Saccharomyces cerevisiae S288C: one gene and its partner. The protein of the gene in region 1 interacts with the protein of each later gene in a biochemical or structural test. Each region holds a gene or a part of one and is shown on either strand. Other genes may lie near its edges.

Region 1 (10,251 bases):
TCAAGTGCTTTAAGTAAGCGAATATTTAACAAAGAAGAATTCAATATTGCAGGAAGTCTTGAGAAAAGATCAAGTGCCAAATTACCCCATTGCTTTTGGACTATTCATTCACTCTTTTCTTTTTTGTTATTTCTTTTATTTGACCTTTATCGTTATATACACATAGCTTCCATACAGCAAATAAACATCCTAATTGAAGTAGATAATTTAATTCCATTCTTTATTAAAAAGAAAAAAATATTATGGGCATAGCTGATGGGCAAAGAAGAAGATCTTCATCACTACGAACGCAGATGTTCAACAAGCATTTGTATGATAAATATCGCGGAAGAACTGATGATGAGATAGAGTTAGAAGATATAAATGAGAGTAAGACGTTCTCCGGTAGCGATAATAACGATAAAGATGACAGAGATGAAACAAGCGGCAATTATGCTGCTGAAGAGGATTATGAAATGGAAGAGTATGGTAGTCCTGATGTGTCATATAGCATTATCACTAAAATACTTGATACTATCCTAGATCGAAGGAGGACGTTCCATTCGAAAGACGGTAGACATATTCCGATTATATTAGATCATAATGCAATTGAATACAAACAAGCTGCTACTAAAAGGGATGGTCATTTGATAGACGAAAGGTTCAACAAGCCTTACTGCGACAACCGAATAACTTCATCAAGATATACATTCTATTCCTTTTTGCCTAGACAGTTGTATGCACAATTTTCAAAGTTAGCCAATACTTATTTTTTCATTGTCGCAGTATTACAAATGATACCTGGATGGTCTACAACTGGTACTTATACAACTATTATCCCCTTATGTGTATTTATGGGTATATCCATGACAAGAGAGGCTTGGGACGATTTCAGGAGACATCGTTTAGATAAGGAAGAGAACAATAAACCAGTGGGAGTGTTGGTTAAAGATGGAAATAATGACGCACAAGAAGTTTATACACTACCAAGTAGTGTTGTCTCATCCACTGCATATCTAACTAAATCGGCCGCTGCTGAAAATAATCCACCTTTAAACGATGATCGGAACTCCTCTCAAGGACACTTCTTAGACACGCACTTCAATAACTTTGAACTACTCAAGAATAAATACAATGTTCATATTCATCAAAAGAAGTGGGAAAAACTTCGTGTTGGAGACTTCGTACTTCTCACACAAGATGATTGGGTACCTGCAGATCTGCTTTTATTGACATGTGACGGCGAAAATAGCGAATGTTTCGTTGAAACGATGGCTTTAGATGGCGAAACAAATTTGAAAAGTAAACAACCCCATCCAGAATTAAATAAGTTAACCAAAGCCGCATCAGGTCTTGCAAATATTAATGCTCAAGTTACCGTGGAAGATCCCAATATTGATTTATATAATTTTGAAGGTAATCTTGAATTGAAAAACCATCGCAATGATACCATAATGAAATACCCTCTAGGTCCTGATAATGTCATTTATCGTGGTAGTATTTTGAGGAATACTCAAAATGTTGTTGGTATGGTCATTTTCAGTGGTGAGGAAACAAAAATCAGAATGAATGCTTTAAAAAACCCAAGAACGAAAGCCCCTAAGCTACAAAGGAAGATAAATATGATTATCGTGTTTATGGTGTTTGTCGTTGCCACAATATCTTTATTTTCTTATCTTGGCCATGTTTTGCATAAGAAAAAATATATCGACCAGAACAAAGCATGGTATCTATTTCAGGCAGATGCTGGCGTAGCACCCACAATAATGTCTTTTATCATCATGTATAACACTGTGATTCCTTTGTCCCTATATGTAACAATGGAAATTATCAAGGTAGTCCAAAGTAAAATGATGGAATGGGACATAGACATGTACCATGCAGAAACGAACACGCCATGCGAATCGAGAACTGCCACCATTCTGGAGGAATTGGGGCAAGTATCTTATATTTTTAGTGATAAAACCGGAACGCTGACGGATAATAAGATGATATTTCGGAAATTTTCTTTATGTGGATCATCTTGGCTGCATAATGTAGATCTCGGTAATTCTGAGGATAACTTTGAAGACAACAGAGACAATACGAACTCCTTGAGACTACCACCAAAAGCTCACAACGGCTCTAGTATAGACGTTGTTTCCATTGGAGATCAAAATGTTCTTGATCGGTTAGGATTTTCGGACGCACCAATTGAAAAAGGGCATCGTCCATCTTTGGACAACTTTCCTAAATCTAGGAATTCTATTGAATATAAGGGAAATTCATCAGCAATTTATACAGGCCGTCCCAGTATGAGATCACTTTTTGGGAAAGATAATTCACATCTAAGTAAACAAGCTTCGGTTATTTCACCCTCCGAGACATTTTCGGAGAACATTAAAAGTTCGTTTGATTTAATTCAGTTTATTCAAAGATATCCGACCGCCCTGTTTTCTCAAAAGGCTAAATTTTTCTTCTTATCATTAGCTCTTTGTCATAGCTGTCTTCCCAAAAAAACTCATAACGAATCAATAGGAGAAGACTCCATAGAGTATCAGTCTTCATCTCCAGATGAATTAGCACTAGTAACCGCTGCTAGAGACCTTGGTTATATTGTATTGAATAGAAATGCACAGATTTTGACCATTAAAACTTTTCCAGACGGTTTTGACGGTGAAGCAAAATTGGAAAATTATGAAATTTTGAACTATATTGACTTCAATTCTCAAAGAAAGAGAATGTCTGTTCTTGTACGTATGCCAAATCAACCAAATCAAGTTCTTTTAATTTGCAAAGGTGCTGATAACGTTATTATGGAGCGTTTACATGATCGCGAATTGGCTGCCAAAAAAATGGCAGACATATGCACCAGTACCAAAGAACGTAAAGACGCAGAAGCAGAGCTGGTTCTCCAGCAAAGAAAGTCTCTGGAAAGAATGGTAGATGAAGAGGCTATGGCCAGGACCTCATTGAGAAATTCTTTGTCTAGCGTACCGAGAGCAAGTTTATCATTGCAGGCAGTGAGAAAAAGTCTTTCAATGAAGAACAGCAGGACCCGTGATCCAGAGAAACAAATTGACTCCATTGATCAATTTCTAGAAACGGTCAAGAAATCTGATCAGGAGATTGGCAGCGTTGTAAATAAAAGCAGGAAGTCACTCCATAAGCAACAAATAGAAAAATATGGGCCGCGAATTTCGATAGATGGAACACATTTTCCGAACAACAATGTCCCAATAGACACAAGAAAAGAAGGACTACAGCATGATTACGATACAGAAATTTTGGAGCACATTGGAAGCGATGAGTTAATTTTGAATGAAGAGTATGTTATTGAAAGAACTTTGCAAGCCATCGATGAGTTTTCGACTGAAGGCTTAAGAACTCTGGTCTATGCTTACAAATGGATCGATATTGGGCAGTATGAAAATTGGAATAAACGCTATCACCAAGCCAAAACCTCCCTTACTGATAGAAAAATCAAAGTCGATGAGGCAGGTGCAGAAATCGAGGATGGTTTAAATCTGTTAGGGGTAACTGCAATCGAAGACAAGTTACAAGACGGCGTTTCAGAAGCTATAGAAAAGATCAGAAGAGCCGGTATAAAAATGTGGATGCTAACAGGGGATAAAAGGGAAACGGCTATAAATATAGGGTATTCGTGTATGTTAATCAAAGATTATTCTACGGTAGTCATTTTAACTACTACTGATGAAAATATTATATCAAAGATGAATGCGGTTTCTCAAGAAGTTGATTCCGGAAACATAGCACACTGCGTTGTTGTAATTGACGGTGCCACGATGGCCATGTTTGAAGGAAATCCTACATACATGTCTGTATTTGTTGAGCTTTGCACTAAAACAGACTCGGTAATATGTTGCCGTGCTTCACCTTCTCAAAAAGCCCTTATGGTTTCCAACATAAGAAATACCGATCCAAACTTAGTCACGTTGGCAATAGGTGATGGTGCGAATGATATTGCCATGATACAATCTGCCGATATAGGTGTTGGAATAGCCGGTAAGGAGGGATTGCAAGCATCTAGAGTATCTGATTATTCTATTGGCCAATTTCGGTTTCTCTTGAAATTGTTATTTGTTCATGGGCGTTATAACTATATTCGCACCTCCAAGTTTATGCTTTGCACGTTTTACAAAGAAATTACGTTTTACTTTACGCAGTTGATATATCAAAGATATACAATGTTTTCAGGCTCCTCTCTATATGAGCCATGGTCATTGTCCATGTTCAATACTCTATTCACATCACTACCGGTTCTATGTATTGGTATGTTTGAGAAAGACTTGAAACCAATGACTCTACTAACAGTCCCTGAATTATATTCGTACGGGCGCCTTTCACAAGGTTTTAATTGGTTAATATTCATGGAGTGGGTTATCTTGGCAACTACGAATTCTCTTATCATTACATTTTTAAATGTTGTAATGTGGGGTATGAGTTCTCTTTCAGATAACACTATGTATCCTCTAGGTCTCATCAATTTCACAGCCATTGTTGCCTTAATTAACGTTAAATCCCAATTTGTTGAAATGCACAATAGGAATTGGCTGGCTTTTACTTCTGTAGTTCTATCCTGTGGAGGTTGGTTAGTGTGGTGTTGTGCCCTTCCTATTTTGAATAATACTGACCAAATATATGATGTAGCATATGGCTTTTACAATCATTTTGGTAAAGACATTACATTCTGGTGTACTAGCTTGGTGTTGGCACTGTTACCTATCACTTTAGATATAGTTTACAAAACATTCAAAGTTATGATATGGCCATCAGATTCTGATATTTTTGCTGAGCTGGAACAAAAAAGTGATATCAGAAAGAAGCTGGAACTAGGAGCCTATAGCGAAATGAGGCAAGGATGGACGTGGGATAAAGATCCCAGTACTTTCACAAGGTACACAGACAAAGTTCTTTCAAGGCCAAGAACTAATTCACGTGCAAGTGCAAAAACTCATAACAGCAGCATATATTCAATGTCAAATGGGAATGTAGACCATTCCTCAAAAAAAAATTTCTTTGGAAACTCTTCTAAAAAGAGCTCTGAACGATACGAGGTATTACCTAGTGGCAAGTTAATCAAGCGACCATCCTTGAAAACACAAAGCAGTAAAGACAGTATTGGCGGCAATATAACTACTAAACTGACGAAGAAACTGAAGCTTCCATCGAGGAATGTGGAAGATGAAGATGTGAACCAGATTATTCAGGCAAGGCTAAAGGATCTGGAGTAATTCTCGTGATCTTGTTTAATTACATTATTGAGAACATTTTTATATATATACCTTTTATTGGAAATTAGTAGCGAGCTTAGAAGACTTACTTGATTTGTTGAGTCGAATATTATTTCGGCATCCACACATTAGAAAATTAACAAGATGTATTTTGAGAGAAAGCAAGGCACAACGCATGGGAAATCTTCACAAATTTTAAATACTATCTATAAACTAACTCTAATTATAAAAGTGGCTTGATTACTTTCGGTGTCAAAAGAAAAAGTAAATGTATGGCGTAAATGCTATGATTAGTTATCAGAAAATAAAGATGTTTATAAGTATTATACTGTCTGATTTAATTTCCTCGATATATTAAAATTCTAATACCATTATGTCCTTCTGGTAAACTGTGGAACAAAATAAAACATAGCCAGGAAGCCTGAAGGAATGACCTAAATGTCATCTAGTATACAAATGCGTTTTTTCAATTTTGCTTGCTCCTTGTAGTTTTATTTTATAGTACAACTTTGACTAACGTTGGAAAATAATAAAAAAATGACAGTAAAAATATTGTGTTTAACTAAACAGGTAATCTTTAATCATAGGAAGAACAATAAAGATGATGAAAAGAACGAGCATATTTTTTAATTGCGAATTCACTGCATTTTCTTCTGCTTGTTGTTGCTGCTGTCTTGAGCGGGGTTGTTGACGCATGAACGGTGAGCCACCACGATTATTAGTATAAACTCTGAAACCACCGGGGCCTCCAAATGAAAAAGTGGAAGCAGAAGGCCCAAATGGTGAAGCGCCGAATGGGCTGCCGCCTGCGTTGAACAAAAAGTCGAATATGTCCTCTGGTGGTCCAGCTCTTTGACCACCGAAACGTGAATTGAAAAACATGTCTTCAAATCCGCCACCCATTGGAGACCCACCTGCACTTCCTCGGAACCCTGAAGCAGCACCTCTGGATGGCATTTGTCTATCGTCAGGATCCCTACCTATCCTGTCATAAATACTGCGCTTTTCCTCATTGCTTAGTACTTCAAATGCCCTATTAATTACTTTGAAAGCTTCTCCCGCTTTTGGATGAGAGTTTTTATCAGGATGCAATTTGATTGCTAGTTTTCTGTATGCCTTCTTGATCTCACTATCTGTGGCTTTCCTATCTACCTTCAAAATTTCGTAAAACTCATGCTTGTCTTTTGACAGTATTTCTAGCGCGATTTTTTCTTGATCCTCAGTGAAAGACATGTTCTTCCTATTATAGACCTTCCACAAGTTATATTGCAGAAACAGCGTTGCTGCTATTATGGCTTCTGGAAGTAGAGGTGTATGAAAAGAACTTCTGCCAGCTTCCTTTATGTTCTTCACGAATACTTTCCAGCCTACTCTGCGGGTTACCCACTATACAAATACCATAATATGTTACGCGGTCCGCTATATACGAATCTACTATGTACGTCGAACATCATTAATCAAGTTTTTGGGGTTGTCATACATGGCTAAAACGCTCAGGATATCACGTAGGTGTTTCAAACCCCTTGTTGGTGGAGACCAATCCTGGTAAGTTCGCCAAATCTCTGTTAATCTTCTCAAAGCTTCCACGGTGTCCCTCTGAAAAACAGGGCCAGAAGTACTCGTGGTACTATCCAAGAAGCAGTTTAATGAGATGGAGAGCCTCAACGCATGTGGTATCTCTCGCTGCGGTAAATTTTTCAATTGAATCAATTTGGAGAAGGAATCATGAATTTTCCATACCAAATCATATTGATTGACAGTATTCAATATGCTTGTAGGAGTGTCGAGGTCGATGTTTAAACGTAAATGCTTACGACTTAATGGGTTTTTCGTGAATATTGTATTGTACAGAAAGCATTTATAGACTTTATCGTCATCATAAATGTCTGAATATATCCTTACGAAATCCGAAGATTTTTCGTTTTGATACTGCACAAACTGCAAAAAATCCTTTACCGTAGAAATATTCTCTGGCAATAATGATTCCGATGATGAACCGAGACTTTCACCCTCCCTTTGGTCGTAATTGAGTTGATGACCATTCATTTTCCACTTACTGTCCATTTCTTGAAGCCAGATTTTGTTGCTGTTCTGGTACTGTTTCCTAATATTTGGAGGCAATGTGTAATCATTAAATGACCTTGAAATAAAAAAAGGACTTAGTAAATTAATTATGGGAATAAATTGTTTATATCCTAAATTCTCCGTTATCATCAAAATATCCCATAAGGTTATTTCGAAAAGTCTGTTGGTGGGAATCTTCAATCTCGATTCAAAATTAGGGGTCCTTACATGGACGTCATTAATGTTACTAGTTGCTTCATCATCGGTATCAAGGTTTAAATTATTAGCATTCTTTAAATCAATGCCCATGTACTTCCCATTGCACCATAAATTTCTCAAGATTTTAGGGTGATTATAATCTATAGCAAGTTTTTCTGAAATTGTCATAAAATTATCATAAAGCTTACCAAAAAATGTCAGTCGAAACGTATCCCAATTGAACAAGAGCCAATCCAATGCATCCTGAACTAGTTTAGATTCACTAGAATCTATCCGCCTATAATTTTTGATTTTAGATAATGTGTCTTGTTGCTTTTTGTCAATGCCCTGAAATAACTGTTTTTCTTTGATTTGTTGGCTCTTCGTTGTGAAATCATTATTTGAATCATGATCATTACTATCATTTTCGTTAGTACTGGAATTGGAACCCAAGTTATTATAACTATTGCTAGTAAAGTCAGTGCTGTGGTCCCAAAATCGATAGCCTTGTAAACATGACTGGAAACTCAATACACTCACTGTAGTGTTTTCATCAAACTCTAGAACTTCATTATTTTGCACGATATATTTCGCTAATAGCAAAGTTAAGGGAACGCTGTGATAAACGCCCACAAAAAAAATTGAATCTACCTCTTTGAAAAGATGAGCCCAGTGGTTCAGTAACTCTACACATTCTTTATATGTAGGTATTAAATCTTGATTATGCAGTGGGCACTGGAACGATAGGGTCAAGACTCTTTGAGGTTGTTCTTGCGCTAGATTTTGTGACAATTTTCTAGAAAGATAATAAGCCGATCTTTGTGATTCTAATGAGCGCTGCTCATACTTTTCTGGTAAATCCCCCACGACGGATATTATAATAATTCTCTTATCCTTCAGTAATGCGGTTTTTTTTTGTCTTAAATAGAGATGTTGCTCATTAGGGAAGTTATAGTAATTTTTGATAGTATTCAATACCTTAGTTCTTAGTGGTTGGACGTGCAGAAAATTCAAAGGGTTATCTGATGGTAGGATTAAAGAATCATTAATAAATACATTATACCCAGGGTTACCTCCCTCCCCAGGATATTTGTTTAATGGCAATGGGCATTTGGCTGATCCTGTACCAGAGACACTGATTATTCCTGGGGTATCTATGGAATCAATTATGTTTGATGAATTTGATATATGTGGAATTGCTTCGTACCAACACCATGATTTCGACTTTTTTGAAATTATATCCTTAGCCTCATTTTCCAAGAAGTTGATTTGTTCAGTGTTTAGTTGAGAGTAGCGGGTATTATCATCAACAACAATTGGGGCACTTCTATATCTGGATGTTGCAAAAGAAGCGATTTTAGACCATATCCCTTTATTGTCATTATTCGAGTTCACGCTATCTTGAAAATCCGTTGTCGGACTACTCCTTCCTTGTCCATTAGGATATTCTGCAATTCTTCCCGTGTTTGGCTCATCGTCGGCAGTGGAATTCCACCAGGGTTTCCATCTGTTTTGTTGTCGTGGACGTTGGGGTGGGACTTCCTGCTGGTCCTCTCGTATCTGCTGCTGCTCTTGTGTTTGATGCTGCAACTGTTTATCCTGTTTCTGCTGCACAACATCCATTATAATAGCGTTTTATATGTTGTGCTAAATTGCTACTACACTTGCTCGCTTTTACTTATTCTGTTTGTAGTTGACCTTTATTTAACGTTGATTTTTGTTATTAACCTGCGCGAATCTGTATTAAGGGCGCATATTCCATGGGCAATTTCATTATAACAGAAAGGAAGAAAGCAAAGGAGGAAAGAAGCAATCCACAAACAGATAGCATGGATGATTTGTTAATTCGTAGACTAACAGATCGAAACGACAAGGAGGCCCATTTAAATGAGTTGTTTCAAGATAATAGTGGCGCCATTGGTGGCAACATTGTCAGCCATGACGATGCTTTATTGAATACACTGGCAATTCTACAAAAAGAACTGAAAAGTAAGGAGCAAGAAATACGAAGATTGAAAGAAGTTATTGCGTTGAAAAATAAGAATACGGAAAGGTTGAATGACGAATTGATTAGTGGAACCATTGAAAATAATGTTTTACAACAAAAACTCTCGGATCTGAAAAAAGAACATTCCCAGCTAGTTGCGAGATGGCTAAAAAAGACAGAGAAAGAGACAGAAGCCATGAACAGCGAAATAGATGGAACGAAATGATGCATCAGTTGTCAAATCGTCACAAAATGCATACAAAAGAAAATAAAATCATTGTGGTGCATATACATGGACAGAATATGAAACGCCAAAGTGTTTGCAATAAAGAGGTGAAAATATGTTAAACATGCTATAGAGAGTACACCTGCAAGTTAAGAAAATGCCATTCGTGTTTTTATCTACTATAATGTAATGTGACAGCTGTTTTAAACCTTTCTTAAGGTCGTTTGTGCGAGAACAGGCTTTTTTTTTGGAGAATGTATCTTGAGAGAAACTCAATAGTAATAACTGGATGCATAAAGAAAATTTCATATGAATCACTACAAATCTTTGGCGTTAGAATTCTATTGGGTAAATTGAACTTTGTAGCTTTTTGATGGTAAACTTGGCGGTTTTGCGCGACCCATGATCCTAAGAAACCCGCAGTTTCTATTAGGATTCACGATGGTCTTTATCTCACCTTCTATTATGTGTAAGTTGAAATGCCCCTTGCTGTTCTTATAGCAGAAAGCTTTTTTTTTCATTTATAGGACTAGCATTTTGGCATTGGAAGGGAAAAAATCATG
Region 2 (4,319 bases), on another chromosome or scaffold:
TTTAGATATGAATGCCAAATTAATGTGAATTATTAGGAGGGGAAACTTGGATACGTGAAGTGAACGCATAGATCTTCAAATCGTATAGTTTTTATCATATCACTTTAGACATTGATGGAACTACTCCTCTTACCAATTTCTTAGCCGTCAGCAACGAACTTAAAACGTATTGATTGAACGCCCGTATCATACATAATAAAGAAATACAACTTATTCTCATAAAAAGAAAGTATCAAAAAGGTAGCTTTACCGACACTTTCACTGATCCTTTTTGAAAAATACGGTGAACATTGAGGACTTTATTACATTTTATGTTTATGTTTTGTGAGTAAAGTCAAGAATTTGTCTTCTTGTTAAAACTACAAAAAATAATGTATGCAAAATAGTATAGCAAGATCATTTTAATAATTCAATGTTATAAACGTTAGAGTCAAAAATTTAGTAGCTTAATTACGGAAAGTGGCACCACAATATGTACCAATGCTATTATATGCAAAATATTAAGCAATCTCATCAGATTCATCATCTTCCCATTCAAAAACATCGTTGCCTAGTCGTTCGACCTCCTGCTTTATGACTGACAAACCGCTAATTTCTTCAAGGTAAAGTGGATGCTCCAAGGCCTTTTTAACAAATTCCCAACCTAAGTCTGTAAATGCTTCGATAACTTTAGGGCTACATGCTGGACAATGCTCATAGGCTGGAGTTTCTAATTTTAAGATGGAAAAATTATGCAAAAACCCACGTATTTGATGAGGTATATCCCCTAATACTGTTGTTTCTGAACCAGAGTATTTGGTCTGTAGTAAGGAAGTCATCAATTCAACTGCTAAAGAAGAGGCCATCATAGCAACGCCGGGTCTAGTTACTGTGCACATTTGATCCAAAGTCCTGTCAGTTAAACTGTCAGTTGGTGCTACCACATCATGGCAAAAATAACAGCCCAGTTGTTTTGAAGACTGTTCATCTCTATTACCATGCCTCATAACTAAGTAGCTATCAAACCCCAGAGCAGCATTAATAACGGTTTTGTTTTCGATGTTGCTCAATAACGACGGAAGCCATCTGCTTTCTCGAGAATCCACCAATAAAAAAATGATATCATGCTCTTTTATTAATGCTCTTAATCTATCAAAATCCTTATGCTGAGCCTCCTCGTTTACTAATTTATGACCGATCATAGGAATACTTAATTTCACACCAGTAGCGTCCATTAAAGGAAATATTCTTTTCAAAGACGCAGCCGCAAGTTCTGCCTTTGGCTTTCCACAGTCCTCAAAATTATATAACGCTTGCCTCACTGGATTTGAATATGAAACTGTACCGTTATCCACAAATGTTATTTTTCTAACCCCCCATGCTATCAATGCGCGTGAAACATAACAACCTAGTGTACCAGCACCTAGTAGTAGTACTTTTGTGTTTTTGATGATATCTAGATTTAAGTCAGGAAGAATTCTCCATTTCATTAGCTTCAAATTTAAATCCACGGATTGGTCAGCAATTTTTAAAGGATCTAACAATGAACTTAAATCAACAACACGTGGTGCTAGCTTACCTTGCACATTCCTTTCCCATCCAGAAACTTTCATATCTGGGTTACTTGAGGATGATTGTGGGTCAATAGAAGCAAATGTAGCATTTAATGCAAAGCTACCTTCGTTCTGTCTAATAATTAATAGTTTGAAATCTATCAAGTCAGGAACATCGTATTGCAACACGCTGAGAAAATTTTTGGTTAGAGCAGAAGGGACGTTTTCCATCGTACTAGTGTCCCTTATCGCCAAAACTTTAGTTTTTCGAATAATACACTTGTCATAATTTACTATTTCATCGTCTGCATCCAGTATACACACCCATTTTGAGTAATTGACATCAAACCATTTTTGACACTTTGAGAACAGCCCTTTTAAACTCGGCTCTGGCCGCACATGTAAAACTGTTGAAGAGGGTCTTTGAAAACAGGGAACACCTAACCAGTAATAAAACCTGTACTTTTTTAGGTCAGCAAAACTAATAATCACAAAAGAAACACACTTATTGATATCCTTTATTCCATCTTCCCAGCATTCCAATGCTCTTTGATGTAAAAATAGTTGCTTATCAAGATTCTTAAACTCGTCTAATACATTAAAATTGAAAATACTGCCCTGTAAAGGCACTTCATTAGTACGCTTATTATTGTGTTTTTCAAAGCTTCTATTTGTTAAGAATAATGGAACTTGATCAGCAGATTTAGGAATGTTGTGTAAATCTAGATTCACAGTAAGTGGTTGGCATGTTGAATCTAATTTCAGAACATCGAGTTTCAATCTCGATAATTCTTGGAAAAAAGATGTATCCAGAAATGATTTAAAAGCTGGTGCATAACTTAAGACCCTTTCTGACGACATTTTATTCTTGATTATCTTATATTTGTTGAAATATAATGAACTTTAGTTATCTAAGTAGCATCGTAAAATAATGAGTTCCCTTAATTTTTTTGTTTTGCCGTGCCGGAAAGGGTGTCCAAAGGAATCTCATGGATTAAAAAAGCGGAAGTTTAAAAATCTTGCGTAAGAGCTCTACAAATGAAAAATCTTGCTTGCCTATCTAGTTTTCAACATGTGGTGGCTTGTTCTTCCATAAAGTACATTTTACATCCATATATATGTATATAGATAAACTGAAATGCTAGTGTTTGTTAAGAGTATATACTACTCTCCATTCTTTGGTGTTTTTTTACTGCTGAGATTCAACGGGTGTGTTCTCGACTCCATCTTCTAATGTCATTTCATCTAACTCGTCCAATAATTCATCAATGTTGATTTGTGGAGCGTCTTCATCCTCGTCTTCATCCATTTCATGCTCTTCAGGAGGTACATTTGCTTCGCGGTTTTTGTATAGGTTAACACTTTGTCTTAATTCAGCATCCTCTTCTAATTCTTGTAAGAATAATTCGTAGTCCTTTTCTGCACGTTCCATTTCTTGCTTTTGAGCTCTTGAATTGTAATCTAAGGATGCATCGATATCTTTGTGTTCCTTAGCCATTCTCTTTAACTTCCAGTGTCTGCTCTTTTTGCTCTTTCTTTGATACAATTTCTTCACAAGAACTACATCAGGCACATAATCGATATTTAACCCATCAAAAAGATCTGAGTTGTAATTCGAGTTTGCAATGAAATAACCCATAACACTATCACCTGCATGGCAAATACCACCGAGATGAGACCTGACGTAGTAGACTTGGTCATTAACACCCAAGTCAGACGTTCTAGCAACAGTAATGTCAGCTAAGACACGATTTCCCCTGCTTATACCTGTAGAATCCACGTCCAGAACAATGAACTCCACCAACTGGGTCACATCAGCCAGGGCGTTGAATGGAGCCCTCCAGTACACAGATGGTGACAGATCCGCGGTTTGCAAAGTAGTCGGATCCATAAACTGGACAGTGTTAGAAATCTTAGAACATAGAACAAATTGAGAAATGTTACCCATAGATTTAGCCAGTTTTTTTGGTAAAACGACCAAGTCATCTTTACAGATAGGAACAATCTCGACAGAATATGAAAATTTATAAGTAGATGCACCAGTATGTGTATCTTGAGAAATAAGTTCTTCAGACTTTTTATGTTTAATCGGAACAACAGCGTTCAAAAAATCAATCATCTTAACTGCGTGGTTTTTTTGCGCATAGAAGAAATCCAACCCGTCCTTAGCTTCACTAATGGAAATGGTATCCACATGAGCATTATGTTTCAAAATCAGTTGTTCCAAAAACAAAAATGTTCTCTTGTGAGGCACTTTTTGTCTAATTTGGACAGTAGCCCTCCAAGTATTTGTAGTGTAGGATCTGGCACAGTCTGGACATTGCATCGCAATAACAATGTATTCTACTTCGAAAGTTTGCTGAATAATAGTATTTGTCATGGCTTCTCCCTGCACGGTAAGTTTAATTCTAATACGTCTAGAATGGGGTTCTGTCCAAATGAATGAAGCATCCACTAATCTGACTTTTGTTAGGCCCTTCAAACGACGCAAACAAATGGCCAGTAATTCTCTAGATTCTAATTCTGCTCTGATCCATTGTCCAGGTGGTTGCAAAAATCTTTCACAGTTTCTGCAAAATGAAATGTTCGCTTCTCTTGGAATACCTTGAGTAATGTCCACAGTCAGTTTGATACAGTCATAACACATAACCAGCCCAGTGGACCCATCGATTGGGGTACCACAGTTACAACATAGAAGAGTAGCAGCATTTTGGTGCTGGTGCGGATCTATAGGTGTGAATTCCATCCTTTTGTCAAATTCCTCAACGTTTATTAGACAATAAAATG

The links.
Region 2: the proteins of ATG16 (region 1) and ATG7 form a complex in vitro, tested with the Saccharomyces cerevisiae proteins (one study listed by BioGRID).

Annotation. Positions count from the first base shown.
Region 1 is NC_001145.3:573,913-584,163, reverse strand, and holds ATG16 (Atg16p), read left to right. Parts: upstream 1-9,235; coding exon 9,236-9,688; downstream 9,689-10,251. Other genes in the region: aminophospholipid-translocating P4-type ATPase DNF3, read left to right, coding at 243-5,213; type I HSP40 co-chaperone HLJ1, read right to left, coding at 5,772-6,446; CVM1 (Cvm1p), read right to left, coding at 6,648-9,098. UniProt on the Saccharomyces cerevisiae protein: Stabilizes the ATG5-ATG12 conjugate and mediates the formation of the 350 kDa complex, which is necessary for autophagy.
Region 2 is NC_001140.6:443,787-448,105, reverse strand, and holds ATG7 (Atg7p), read right to left. Parts: upstream 2,394-4,319; coding exon 501-2,393; downstream 1-500. Other genes in the region: ribosome-binding protein NMD3, read right to left, coding at 2,722-4,278. UniProt on the Saccharomyces cerevisiae protein: E1-like activating enzyme involved in the 2 ubiquitin-like systems required for cytoplasm to vacuole transport (Cvt) and autophagy. Activates ATG12 for its conjugation with ATG5 and ATG8 for its conjugation with phosphatidylethanolamine.